Linked DNA regions of Oryzias latipes. The protein of the gene in region 1 interacts with the protein of each later gene in a biochemical or structural test. Links are inferred from orthologs where the notes say so. Each region holds a gene or a part of one and is shown on either strand. Other genes may lie near its edges.

The links.
Region 2: the proteins of map3k5 (region 1) and txn form a complex in vitro, tested with the Homo sapiens proteins (3 studies listed by BioGRID). The link is inferred for Oryzias latipes from reciprocal best matches to the Homo sapiens genes MAP3K5 and TXN.

What each region holds. Positions count from the first base shown.
Region 1 is NC_019882.2:18,744,058-18,750,098, forward strand, and holds part of map3k5 (mitogen-activated protein kinase kinase kinase 5), read right to left. Parts: intron 5,972-6,041; coding exon 5,864-5,971; intron 3,652-5,863; coding exon 3,599-3,651; intron 2,577-3,598; coding exon 2,481-2,576; intron 1-2,480. UniProt on the Homo sapiens protein: Serine/threonine kinase which acts as an essential component of the MAP kinase signal transduction pathway. Plays an important role in the cascades of cellular responses evoked by changes in the environment.
Region 2 is NC_019876.2:18,248,858-18,255,477, forward strand, and holds txn (thioredoxin), read right to left. Parts: upstream 4,270-6,620; 5' UTR 4,073-4,269; coding exon 4,049-4,072; intron 2,851-4,048; coding exon 2,746-2,850; intron 2,076-2,745; coding exon 2,010-2,075; intron 1,808-2,009; coding exon 1,742-1,807; intron 1,191-1,741; coding exon 1,128-1,190; 3' UTR 827-1,127; downstream 1-826. Other genes in the region: svep1 (sushi, von Willebrand factor type A, EGF and pentraxin domain-containing protein 1), read left to right, coding at 506-536. UniProt on the Homo sapiens protein: Participates in various redox reactions through the reversible oxidation of its active center dithiol to a disulfide and catalyzes dithiol-disulfide exchange reactions.

The DNA.
Region 1 (6,041 bases):
ATAATGATAACATTATGTTAAAAGAGATTTAAAAAACTTTGTTAATTAAAAAAAATAATCATATTTTAGAAGGTTTGATTAGCAAAAAAAAGTAAAAACGATTACAATACAAAATTGAAAAATATTACATATTATAGAAATTGATGTGCAAAAGAGTTTAATGTATACAAATATAATTTCATAATACCATTTAATACAAATATTCAGTAAGTAAAAGAATAAAGTATATATTGTTAAAAATCCTTCTAAAAGTATACAACAAAAAAAGAATACAAATCAGTGTAAATTTGTTTTATGCATTTCATACTTTTCAAGTTTTATCAAGTTTATCTAATAAAACAATACATTAGAAAATATATAAACATATATTACCATAAATAAAAATATAAAAAGCTAAGACAAGTAAACGTCCTTAAAAATTTACATTTAAAAAAATTAAATTTTCAGTTTATTGTCATTGAGAGTTGCCATGTAGCCTCTGATCCTATCCTGATAGGGCAACAGTGTGTTTACATGCACTCCTCCTCCACAATGCATTCATACAATGACATTTACTGTCTGTGCTGCTCACAAGCTGTGAAATAGCACTCATCATGCTGTCACACTTGACGCCTGCAGGTGTTCAACCACACTGTCATTGTGAACACAAACCAATCACAATGTCTGCAGGCAGACATGCAAATCAATCCTTTCTATTGCTGTTTGTCCCTTTTTTTTATTTTTTAGAACTGCAGCTTTCCTCCACTTGCTGTCCTTTAAACCTTTTTTTCCTGCAGAAGCAGAGATAAAGGGACCGTCGGTAACCGCAACAGCAGGCATGAGTCACTGGGCTCTCACACTCCAGATAATGACACTGGAAGCCTCAGATGTGAGAGTCACAAGTTGGAACACAGAGCTGCAAAGAGCAGCTGGCAGGGGACATGATGGGGTTGAAATGAAACAAGGTGTGCTGCCGATGGAAGAACGGGAAATTTCCCACCAGGGTTCAGAACTGACAAGAGGACTTCAAGTTCCTGCAGAAAGAGTTTTTTGCAGCGGCAGGATTTATGCAAAAATGTTAGAATCAGATCCAAAATTGAAAATGATATTTTCACTTTCTATTGGGTAAAATTTTTTTTTGTCAGTTATCTATTTTACAGGTTGTTCCTCTTAGAAGGATGAGTTTTGTCTGAAATGATTGTTATGTAAAGCCCCAGGAATGATCCCATTCCATCCACACATACAACTCCTGTTTGTGACAAAAGCTATGAAGGTAAAAATGTCTCTAAATGGATGAACTTGTAGATTTGATGTGAGAACTTGTAAAATAAAATGTGAAAACTTGTGCACCAAAAATCTGCATCTGTGTGTAAAAATCTTCTGTTGTGAACTGACAAATTCCCATTTGCATGTGTTCATTTAGAGTTGCAACGTCAAATCTGTGAGTACAACTGCTCAAATGTGCTTCTGCGTGAATCTGCTGGCGCAAAACATATTCCTTGCTGCAAAACTTGTGTCAAACTGATCTGTGGAACTAGGGGGGAGGGAGGGTTAGAGGAGGGGGCAGACAACCAATCAGAGTCCAGCACTTAGAGAGCTTGGTAAAGTTAGAATAACTCTTCTGATAAACTGATTTTTTTTCTTTAGAAAGTTCCCTCTCTGTGAATAAAAAAAGATTGAGATACTTTTACGTTACGTTCATGGGGTCACCACAGGTGGTTTGGCAGACAGTTTTTACGCCGGATGCCCTTCCTGACACAACCCTGTATTTTCAGGGCACAGAGAGACCCAGATAGAACCCAGGCTTCCTGCGTGACACCCAGCTGACTGAGCCATCCAGCCACTTTACTACTGGAAATGAGGAAATAAGATAATCAGATTGTAGTTTGTGCTGACCTGCTACAGGCGTCCTATGGGTACTTGCGTATCACCTGCATATCCTGTGTGTGCAGAATTGCGTGCGGTCAGTAAGAAGTCAGTTCTTGCACCTTGCTAATGAGTGTGGCGTAAGGACACTGTACGCCAGCATCATTCGTACGGCATAAAGTGCGTGCAACTCCCACATATTTACGATACATCTACCACACGCACGACAATGGAACGTTTTCTACAACCCTCCATGGGCCTGGAATCCAGAAACCTGCAGCACCTATACAGGTGACTAAGGCTTTAAGCAACAACAGACCTGATAATCCTTTGAATTTCAATGTGAATCACCATCAGAGGAAAAAAATGACAAAAAATTGAGAATCTTTGTCGTTTTAAATGTTTTTAAGCTAAACTGCATTATAAAATAGTAGTTGAAGCTACATTTGACAATCTCAGGTATGGCGCCATGATCAACGCACCGATCTTTAGATCAGTGAGTGATGTATCTTAAAGTGTTTGTTTTAAAGCTACAGGGGACCACTGCAGTGCAGCAGGAGACTCGCTTAGCAATGACTGATGAAATGAACTACCTGTGATTAAACCGAAACGGGAGCCATGATAGGCGGACCGACCTTTTGCAGTGAATCTCTGTGCAGAAATAGATCTGGAAGTCCTCTGCATTGTGGAGCACATAGAGGAAGGCGCTGCGCTCGTCAAACTTGGAGATGCTGAGAAGAGACAGTCAAGAGTTATTCATGTTCTCTCTATATGAGGAATGATTTTATATTTTATTAAATCTAGGCTTCGCCAAAAGATATATGCTCAGCAAACAACTGGTGAGATGAAGTGTTTGTCCAGAGAGATGATGCTTTGTCCATCTTAGAATTTGCTGAGCCAGACATTGAAGTTTGTGTCACAGTGTGCTCTGGTTGGCATTGCAGCTCAGAGAGCTGCTATTGTGTCCTGCTGACTGTCTGCAGGCTGAGTGGGCTCAGGGAATGAGCCGTTCCTTAGCAACATGCAAGCACAACCCGTCCGATCCGATACTGAATTCCTTTGAGGGGCGTGCAGGGGAAAAAAAATATGGGAAGAAAATTCTTCCGTGGTGGTCTTTCATTTAGTCCAGTTAAGAGAGGCGACGGAAAACGACCTCCATGCTTTAAATTGTCCTTAATATCGGCCAACAAAACAAGCTGTTCCTGCTGTAAATGTTGGGATAAAGTCTGGAGAGTTGCTTGAAACAAGTCAAGACGAGAAAGAAAGCAACAGAATCAAGCTCTTGGAGTTAAATATAGGAGATAAGAAGTGTTTCTAAAACAGGAGCATTGGATTACAATCCCACTTCATGTTCCTGCCTGTTTATCTCCATCTTTCTCTTTAATGAGGAAGCTGGCATGAAGATAGCAGTTGGCAAAAATGTCAACCCACATGTAAAAGAAGGAGCTGAGGCTGATGTTTAGTACCTCAAATGACTCTTTTTGCCTTCCCCTTAAAGCTGCAGCAATGACCAGGAGTTTAACTGATGAGTAAAGTAGCGGTCACTTTGGGATGGTTTTTCCTTCCCACTTTCCTTTTCTATTGTTCTTTTTAATTAACATTTTAATTGAACATTTGGTGTAAATGTTTAGAATGAAGAAGAAGTGAGACACCCCACTTGTCTCAAGTTTTATGCATTTTGCTAACACACAAGCTCCAGGAGAGCCAACAGGAAATGGAACCGACAACCAGTCTAATGGGGTTTGGACCTGACCTGACACCCCGCACAGACTTGGCGTTGAAGTTCCACTCGTGGATCCCCTTGTTCTGTAGGACAGATAAAAAAAAAAAAACACGTTTACATTTTTTGTAATATCCATTCAAAGTTACAGTTTTTAACAGACTCAACTGGATGGTATTTTTAATCTAAATGAAGTAAACATCTGCCATCAGAGTATCAACAGTTTGTCCAGCTCCAGTTCTTGTTGGATATTCTCTCCTTTTTTCACTTAATTTAAGTGAAAACTTACCATGTGACAGTAAACCTGAGCTTGTTGGGTTTTAGAAGGACTTTAAAAGACAATTCTCAAAGAAAAGAATGAACAAAGGGAAACCTTTAAAAAACATAAAACCTAAGACCAGCACACACCAGAAATGCTCACACGTCTCTTTCTTCAACTTCAAGTCAACTCCAAAGTCTTCGTATTTATTTTCAAGTCAAATTTGAAAACTTTGGTGATGAAATCAACTTAAGTCTTGAGTCTTTGGTGATAAGTTCCAGTCAAGTCTCAAGTCTTTATCTGGTACTTCAAGTCAAGTCTCAATTTATTAGCTTTAACTATTAGTCAAGTCCAGCATCTTTAGCCGTATTTTCAAGTCAAGTCCCAAGTCTTGAGATGAAACTGTAAGTCAAGTCTCTGTATGTGAGACTTAATTCTGACTCAATTCCAAGTCCCAAGTCCCTGTCTCTCGGACTCACCACTGGCATGTAGGCCTGCACAATATATCGTAAATTTATCGTCATCGCGACATCAAGCTGTGAAATATGCATATCGTGAAAGACGGAGAAAATTGCAATAAATGGTTTCCTTAATGAGCTAAAACAATCTTATGAAGTATTTAACAAATCAAATAAATCCATTTATCCATTTGACCAATCAGAGGGACACCTTCCAGTTACCCAATCAGATGGAGCTCTTTTATCTTGGATGTTCATCTGTGTCAAGGAGGGTCACTTGGGGTATACTTTTTAAACTGTTGGAATGAAATGGGAATGCTTTTTTGGGTTGTTTTGCTATTTGTTATCACAATATTGATCACAAATATCACATATCGCAGGTCTTCCTCATATCGTGCAGCCCTACTGGCATGTGATGATGTACATCTAAGAATGCATTTCCTTATTTTAACAGTAGAGTCGTTTTTTCTCTGTCTTTCTATATTAAAAAAGCTTTTGGACCACATATCAACTCTTTGTTTGAAGAGAGGGCTTGTGAACCAATGAAACACTTTTTGAACCGTGAGGATAGTTTTGGGTTTGTTTCCTCACCAGCCAGCTGGTGCTGCTGTCAGTGACTGGAGGTAGAGGAGAGGGAATTTATGTACACTATTGCTGTTAAAATATTTGTATCACATGGCTCCACAGTTGTGCATCTCAGTCTGAGTTACAGGCGACTGATGGTGAGCATCAAACGCCAGCGCAGTTTGCGCTATACTTAATGTGAGCAGACCCTGAACCACAGCTGCACTGATTACTGAGGTGGTCTAGACGTTCAGGGGATAAACCTGTGTTTTGTGGTTCCACAGAGAGCGTCTCTTTAGCCGAATGTAGAGCAGTTTGACCTACTTTTAGGGTTTCACAATAACCACTAAACTTGAGGTGTATTGTGCACGCACAAACATGAACCACAACCAAAAACTGTCATGGATAATCCATTTCAATTCACCATTCAACTTCATTCAAAACTCAATTAAAAATCAAATGATTTTTTTTGTGACAAATTTGCATTCTAAACCATTATAGAAAAAAACATTTTACAATACTCACAAGAAACTGGACAAAGGCAGAACTTTTTTCAACAAAAGTATTCATTCCTACATAAAAAACGGACTATAAGTTGTTTTTTGCTTAACAAAAAAAGCAAAAAGTTATTTTGAGAACACATGTAATTAATCATTTGGATAATTTTTTTTACATTTTGTGTAAAAGATCAGTCAACTTTTTAATGCTCCGTCAGAATTTTGGGGGAAGCACTGCAGGAAAGGAGTTTTATGTACAAAGGAGACAGAAATAAACCCGCTTGTAGTATCATGTGATCATCATTTGTGTACCTTCACTAGTCCAGACATTTCTTAAACTTTCATCATTCACACATTGTTGCATTCATACAATGAACCTTTTTCCATTTTTTCTTTATCATAAAGAGCCCTTTACATTAGTTAAAGTCTATTTTTCCATAAAGCCAACGGACGAAACGTGTCAGTGTGAATCCTAAGACCTTTACAGAAAGGTTTTCCACACAAAATCATCATGACCTACCTTGTCATCGGGAGCAACATGCCAGATTGAGACAATATTGTCCTCCACATCTTTATTTATGGACAAATATGAAGGCTGGTAAACTTTGGTCGGTTCCAGAATCAACACCTAGACATGAAAGTCGATAGATTATCAATGAGAGATCAATTTCATGCAGACAAAACCTACTGATTTGGAT
Region 2 (6,620 bases), on another chromosome or scaffold:
TATCAAAATTAGTAGAAAAGTATGGATGAATAAAACAATATAAATATTTAATAAGTGTTTCCCTACATTTCAACTAAAAGCCAGAATAAAAAGCTAGGTCTTGAACCTTCCTTTATAAGGCACATTTGTGATCCTGAGGTTCTCTGGGAAGCTGTTCCACAGGCGAGGTCCATAAAAACTAACTCGCCGTATGTTTTGGTTCCAACTCTGGGAATCTAGAGGCCCGTGCCAGAGGACCTAAAGGGTCCTGAGGGCTTTTCATGTAAAAACCCCTTTTCTGAGTTCGTTTTTGTACTTAAAAGTTCAAACATTGAAAGTATTTTTTTAAAAACGTGCTTTAATACCTTCAGTGGCACCTTAAGATTCACAATTAAGTAAAATAATATTTGCATTTATTCCATAGGAAAAAAAAAAATCACTTTTTATTCAAACTTTTTCAAATTCTGCTTGAACGCAGATGTTAAGCTATTTGTGCTAAAACCTTTTTTTTTCTTCTTCCCTGCAGGAAGAGGAAATCTGTTTACTACCATTTCTAAAGGTTCCAGTCACCTCCATGTGAATCATCTAATGAAGGGATTTCCTGTATAGTTTCTGGACTCTTGCCAACTTTTCATTTCTCTTCAAAGTCAAAAAAAGAACCAGTTTGTAAATTTAAAGCTGTATTTTTTCATATAAAGACTTAACAGTATTAAACATGCGCTGCTATATATACTTGTATGATGTGTAAAAAAAGATTGATGTGACCGTTCCAGTGTTTATGTGTAAACTATTGTCACATTTCTATTAAAGCATTAAATGCTATTAGAAGCTCTTTGTAGTCGGGCAGTTTAGGGTTTGATTCATTTATTAAATCCATACAGAGGTAACATGGATTACTCAAACTTCATAAATGGTTAGAGTAGAAAAAAAAAATAAAAAAATAAAACCTGGACTGAAGTAAATGCAGTACACAAACTGTTCAACTCAGGATAGATGACAAGTTAGTGCCAACATTGGGGAAAAAAACAAAACTTGATAGCAGTTAAACATGACGCTTAGCTGCAATTCTTTCTTTGGGTGTGTTATGAGGTGAAGACTTTATCAGTTATGCGTTTTATTTTCTGCTCTGGTCAGTCTGACTTCTACTCCTATCTCAGTGCTTTCAGCTTTTCCTCCAGGGTTGCAACGTTGGCACCAGAGAACTCATCCACCTGGAAAAATAAAAACATAAAAAAATGACAGAAGTTGAAAAGGTGAGATCTAATATTTGCAAACAAAAACTAGCCGTTTCTGCTACTGCAGGATGGACATTAGGGCTTCCAGGCTGGTTTAATTGTTTAAGTCAAGCTTACACAGGGCTTAAACAGGGATCACTTAAACCAGGGCACACATGGCTCTCTGGTTAAAGAAAGACAAAGAGGTTTTCCTTTTAAATAGCAAAAAAGACAAAGTAAACTTAAACTTCATTCAACTCATTCCACAACATTTGACAGACGGGACGCATCACAAGTCAAACTAAAACATTTTGGCAGATTTTTGGGCCCCATGTACCAAAGGAAATCAATTTGAGGGCAGTAAGTACACTCAATTTATAAATAGTATTTTACAAATACAAGGATTTTAAGATAACCTTATGGTTTGAAAAATACAGTAAGACTCTCTTAATGATCCCATGTGACACAGGGTCTCTTTTTTTAAAGGAAGTCATCAGAACCTCTGTAAAAAGTTATAAACTTTTCAACTACTGCACTCAGTTACTTACCTTTTTGCCCCCCTTGTAGAAGTGGAATGTAGGCATGCATTTAATTTCACAGAAACTGCTGATATCCTGAAAGAGAAAAAGCAACAGTTTTTTTTTATGAATCAAAATTAAAAAAAATAAAAATACAATTATTAAGTAATTATTGTTGCTGGCCCCCAATTGCAACCTAACGCTTTCATAAAGTAGAGAGACTAAAAACAAAAGCTGGTTTTGCCCATTAAAACAAAGCTAGTTTGTACTGGCCAAGGAGGAGAACGTGCACACTCACATCAGCCTCGTCCACATCCACCTTCAGGAAAACCACATTCTTGTTGTCATCGCTTTCCGACATTTGCTGCAAGACAACAAGTACATACAACAACAGTACATTAGACTCAACTCTACAGAAACAGAGCACTTTTACTGAAAAATCATACTGGGTGTGTGTTGGACCATTTCCTGTGAACAAGCACTTCCTCTCCTTGAAGTGGGGAGGTAAACCTTATAGGGTTGCCATAGTAACAATGCATCTACATTTAAACACCGTTTTCAATTGGTCCCCCTGTTTCTATTCGCTGGTTGGGACGGTTGACAGAGAGGGGTTGTAACTTCCGAGCTCTCCGACTAGCTTAAAGCCCATCAAACCCCCAACCTAACACTACAGGTGAAACAAAAATGGTGAGCAATATCGGAGCTATCAGGCATACAGTTTTGAGCCGGATGACAGCTCAGACGAGGAAAACAAAGACGTACATGGATCCATTTGTCTGCAAGTAGAGGCATCAGTATGGAGTGGAGCAGGGAGCTTGTGGCCTGCAGATTGTAGCTTCTACATTACAACTACAAGCTCTGTCAAAACTGTCCTTTCTTGCCTGTGACTGATTCACAATAAGAAAAAGAAGTACTCAGAAATGCATTTTTAAGCTTAAATTTCTTTATACATGTTCTCCTTTATCAGAAAATGGGCACAAAAACATGTTAAAAACATTTTCATCGGATCAAGTCTTTAAGCTCCAGTTATCTACCTTGTACAAGGGGGCAATCTGTTTGCAGGGCCCACACCATGATGCAGTAAAGTCCACAACCACCAGCTTGTCTCCAGCGTCTTCCAGAATTTTCTTGAATTCTGCCTACAAAAAAAGCATGTTTCCATCATTTATTTTAAATAAGCATAAAGGTAAAGAATTCGTTTAAATAAATTACTTCATTTTGTCAGCAGGCTTTCCCATAGTGTAACGATAAGTGGTTATCAAAGGTTTGGCTAATGATTAGCAGAACAGCCCCAGATCAAAAGCAGTCGCTGTATCTGAATTCCCACCCTAACCCCCAACTTCTAAAAAAAACTATAGAGTGCACCGACTTAAAAGCAATTTGGACACCATGCCCACTACTTTTTTTTTTAATTTACGGCGGATATGACGTCATCGATTTCACGAAGTTAAAATCTAATTGATAGGAGCATTTTGCGAGGATCATTTATCAGTCTTCTGAAGATAAAAACACTTGACAGGTTGTTCAGAAAGTACATTTAAATACATTTTTAAGCAAAAATAGATTTGATGCCATGCATTGTGATCTATATTCACAGATCTAGTGAGCATTGATGCACACTGTTTTTTTGCGGAGATTTCTGGGAAATTTGCAGGGCACTCGATTTTGGAATTGTAGAATCGGACAGCACTACAAAATGGCGAACGCACAGTGCACTTTGTAGTGATTAGTGAAGGAATTCGGACGCAACCAGTGACACCCAGAAGTCTGAATGATTTCAGCAGTTTTGACATCCAGGCATGTGTACACACGGACAGAGGCGGCCCGAGGCCTAGCGGAATGGTCCAAGTGTCGCAAATAGGAGTTGACTTTTACTCAAACTAGTACTTTATTGTAGCTTTCTGCTCATCTGAGCCATGATAGGAACGTTTTTTTGGTGTATTACTAAAAGATTTTTTATCTAGTTAACGGTAAAACCTTTCCGAAAACTTGTAACCCTGGCAACGTGTTCGCGCGGCAACAAGATAGCAAAGTCCGCCCTCGTGCATCATGGGTAGAAAATGGAAAAAAAGAAAAAACAACTAAACATTAGCAATACAGCCTCCAGAGTTATTCTGTCGGAGTAATTTATTCCATCAACGACAATAAACATGCTAACTCTAAGCGAATAAATGCTTTAACAGGGTTTTTTTTTCTTGCAAAAAAGGTAAGTAGATAGAAGCTTGCTGAGAAAATAACCGCGCGGCTACCTAACGTCAACTGTGCTGTCCTGAATGTATGTAGTAGTACAGCGAAATAAATAAAGACATGATTAATTGTATTTATAGAACTACTTACAAGATCAGCCACTTCACGGACCATGTTTGCTGTTTTGAAAAGGCAAACTCTCGCTGAATCTAAAAGACAGCGGCTTCGCAAAGACCACACTTTCAGTCAAAGAGGATGACCTGCCCTATTTATAACGGCGTCAGACTAACACGTCGCAGCGGAAGAGCTGATGGGTTGACTAACAAAATAAAAGCCAGTCTTTTATGTTTAAGCGAATCATTTATATTAAAAGAACGCCGTGTGTATACGTCATTGCCACTATGATTGTGCATGAAATGTGTTGTAACCGTACTTGATTTCATGTTGTATCAGCAGTTGTGTTATTACTGGTAAAGCTTCACGAAAAATACTTTTATTTTGAAAGTTATAAACAGAATGGTTTCCTTTCCTGGATTCTTGCAAATATTTTAGCTCTTTACTGAGAATAAAAACTACAGAATCGGTGATGTCAGGCTATATATATCTGAGGCCCGTTAGTGCTTCGTTGTTGTTTCGTTGCGGCTTAAAATAACTTGCAAAACTAATCTACTAACAATAACGCGTCCTTTTAGAGAATTATATCGATAGTAAGTTGAAATACTTTTTTTGTTTTTAATTCCGTCAACGCTTGATCAGACAGTCGAATCACAATGACTTGGCAAATTTCTGTACTACCGTAAACATGGTCACTGCAGACCATATTTCCTTGTACAAACTCTGGTCAACGCCCATGAGGCCACACCCCTGCACTAGTCTTATTACGTAATAGCTTAAAAAGACTTTATTTGTTTATTCTTTTACAACTAAAGTAAGGGGTAAACAATAAACAGAAAAGTCCATACTATAACAAAAAATTGCAATATTTAGACAAATTATTGCAGTTTGATCATGGTTGGAATAAGTTTAGGGAAGTGATTTAATCAGAAGATTAATTCTAAAAGATGGTACACAAAGACTTGTTTTTCCATTTACATATTTGAATAAAGAATTTGAGTATTTAGACTACATATGTGAATGTTCCAACAGGTTCTATCGTAAAAATAAGGAAACTTCATTTGAAGCCTAAGAATTGCCTAATTTAGACCTTAAAACATTTTTTAAAAGTATCTTTGCATAATTCCATTCTTTAAAATATGATGCAAGTTCAAATCAGTTAGGCAATGCATGCAATACCAGCATACATCAATAAAGACCAAAAACAACCTTTATTATAGAATAAACAACAATATCTGGTTACAGTTTTATCTATGTCGCTGTAAAACAAGCAAATGTCACTTTTGGATTTTTTTCCCCGTTCAGGTAGAAGCCGTGTCACAGCTGTAAGAAAACAATCTTTTTATTTACGTTTGTCCGGGAAAAAAAGAGAAAAATACTAAACAATTTAAATAAAACTACATTCTATTGAGAAATACAGACATATCTCACACATATGTATTTTAAAAATAAAATTAATTCACTAAACACTGAAAAGACAATACATATCTTGTAGTTATTTTTCAGTGCAGTATATGTAAAATCCTCCTTCATTAATTGTGTAAAGACCTTTATTGGTCATCCATCAGACAGCAACAACGGCTTTGCCAGTGTTGTCTCCTTTCAGCATCCCCTTAAAAGCAGCTGGCATGTTTTCAAAGCCTTTGGTGACGTGCTCCCGACATTGCAGTTTTCCCTGCAGAGGCGTCATGTGTGTATACAATTAATAGCAGTGACACAGAAATCTTTTCATTCCTGATTGATGCTCCACATTACCTGTTTGAACCACGCCATCAGCCTCTTGAGGCTTTCAGGATGCTTGTGTGTCCACCATCTTCAGTTGGTACAGCCCTAACAAAACACAAATACAATAGTCAGAAGAAGTACAGTCTCTGGCTCATCTGCAATGCAATAGGGCTCTCTAGTGGGATCGAAGGTTATTGCAAAATAAGTACACAGTTTATAACATTTCTGAAACAGGAAGAGTACATAAAATGCTGAATCAGAGTTTTTTTTTTTTTTTTTAAAGAACTTTATCGAACACAAACCAAAAACATCCCAAAATATGGTGGATACTAGTAGAAAGAATATAGCAATTGAAAAGGAAGCACAAACAAAATAAAATAGAGTACTTATCAATATGCATACATATACGTGCAAATACACAAGACACAAGAAAACAACAATTTCAGAGTTTAATAGTGACACCAAATGCTGGTTGGTACAACAATGACTAAATAAACCGTCTCAGATAGTATCGCTCAGAATATCATAAACTGTTATGCTTTTGGTAAATTGATTAATCTTAGGGGTTTTAAGTATAAATTGACTTCTGCATTAAAGAAGGTAATGTTGGGGTGACATTTCTGTAATTGTTTTTGTGTATAAAAAACTTGACTATTCATAAAATGGTATTGATACATAAATAAATACATTTTTGTGTAGTGATATGCCGAAAATTATGACTTCTTTTTAAAAAAAGGTTCACAATGAATGGGAATTTATTTTTCAACTATTTGTAAACATCTAACCAAAAAATGTGTACAATGCTACACAGGAAAAATATGTGGTCGGTGTCTTCAACAGCAGTTTGGCAGAAGGAACAGCTGTTGTCATCAATGTTGAAACG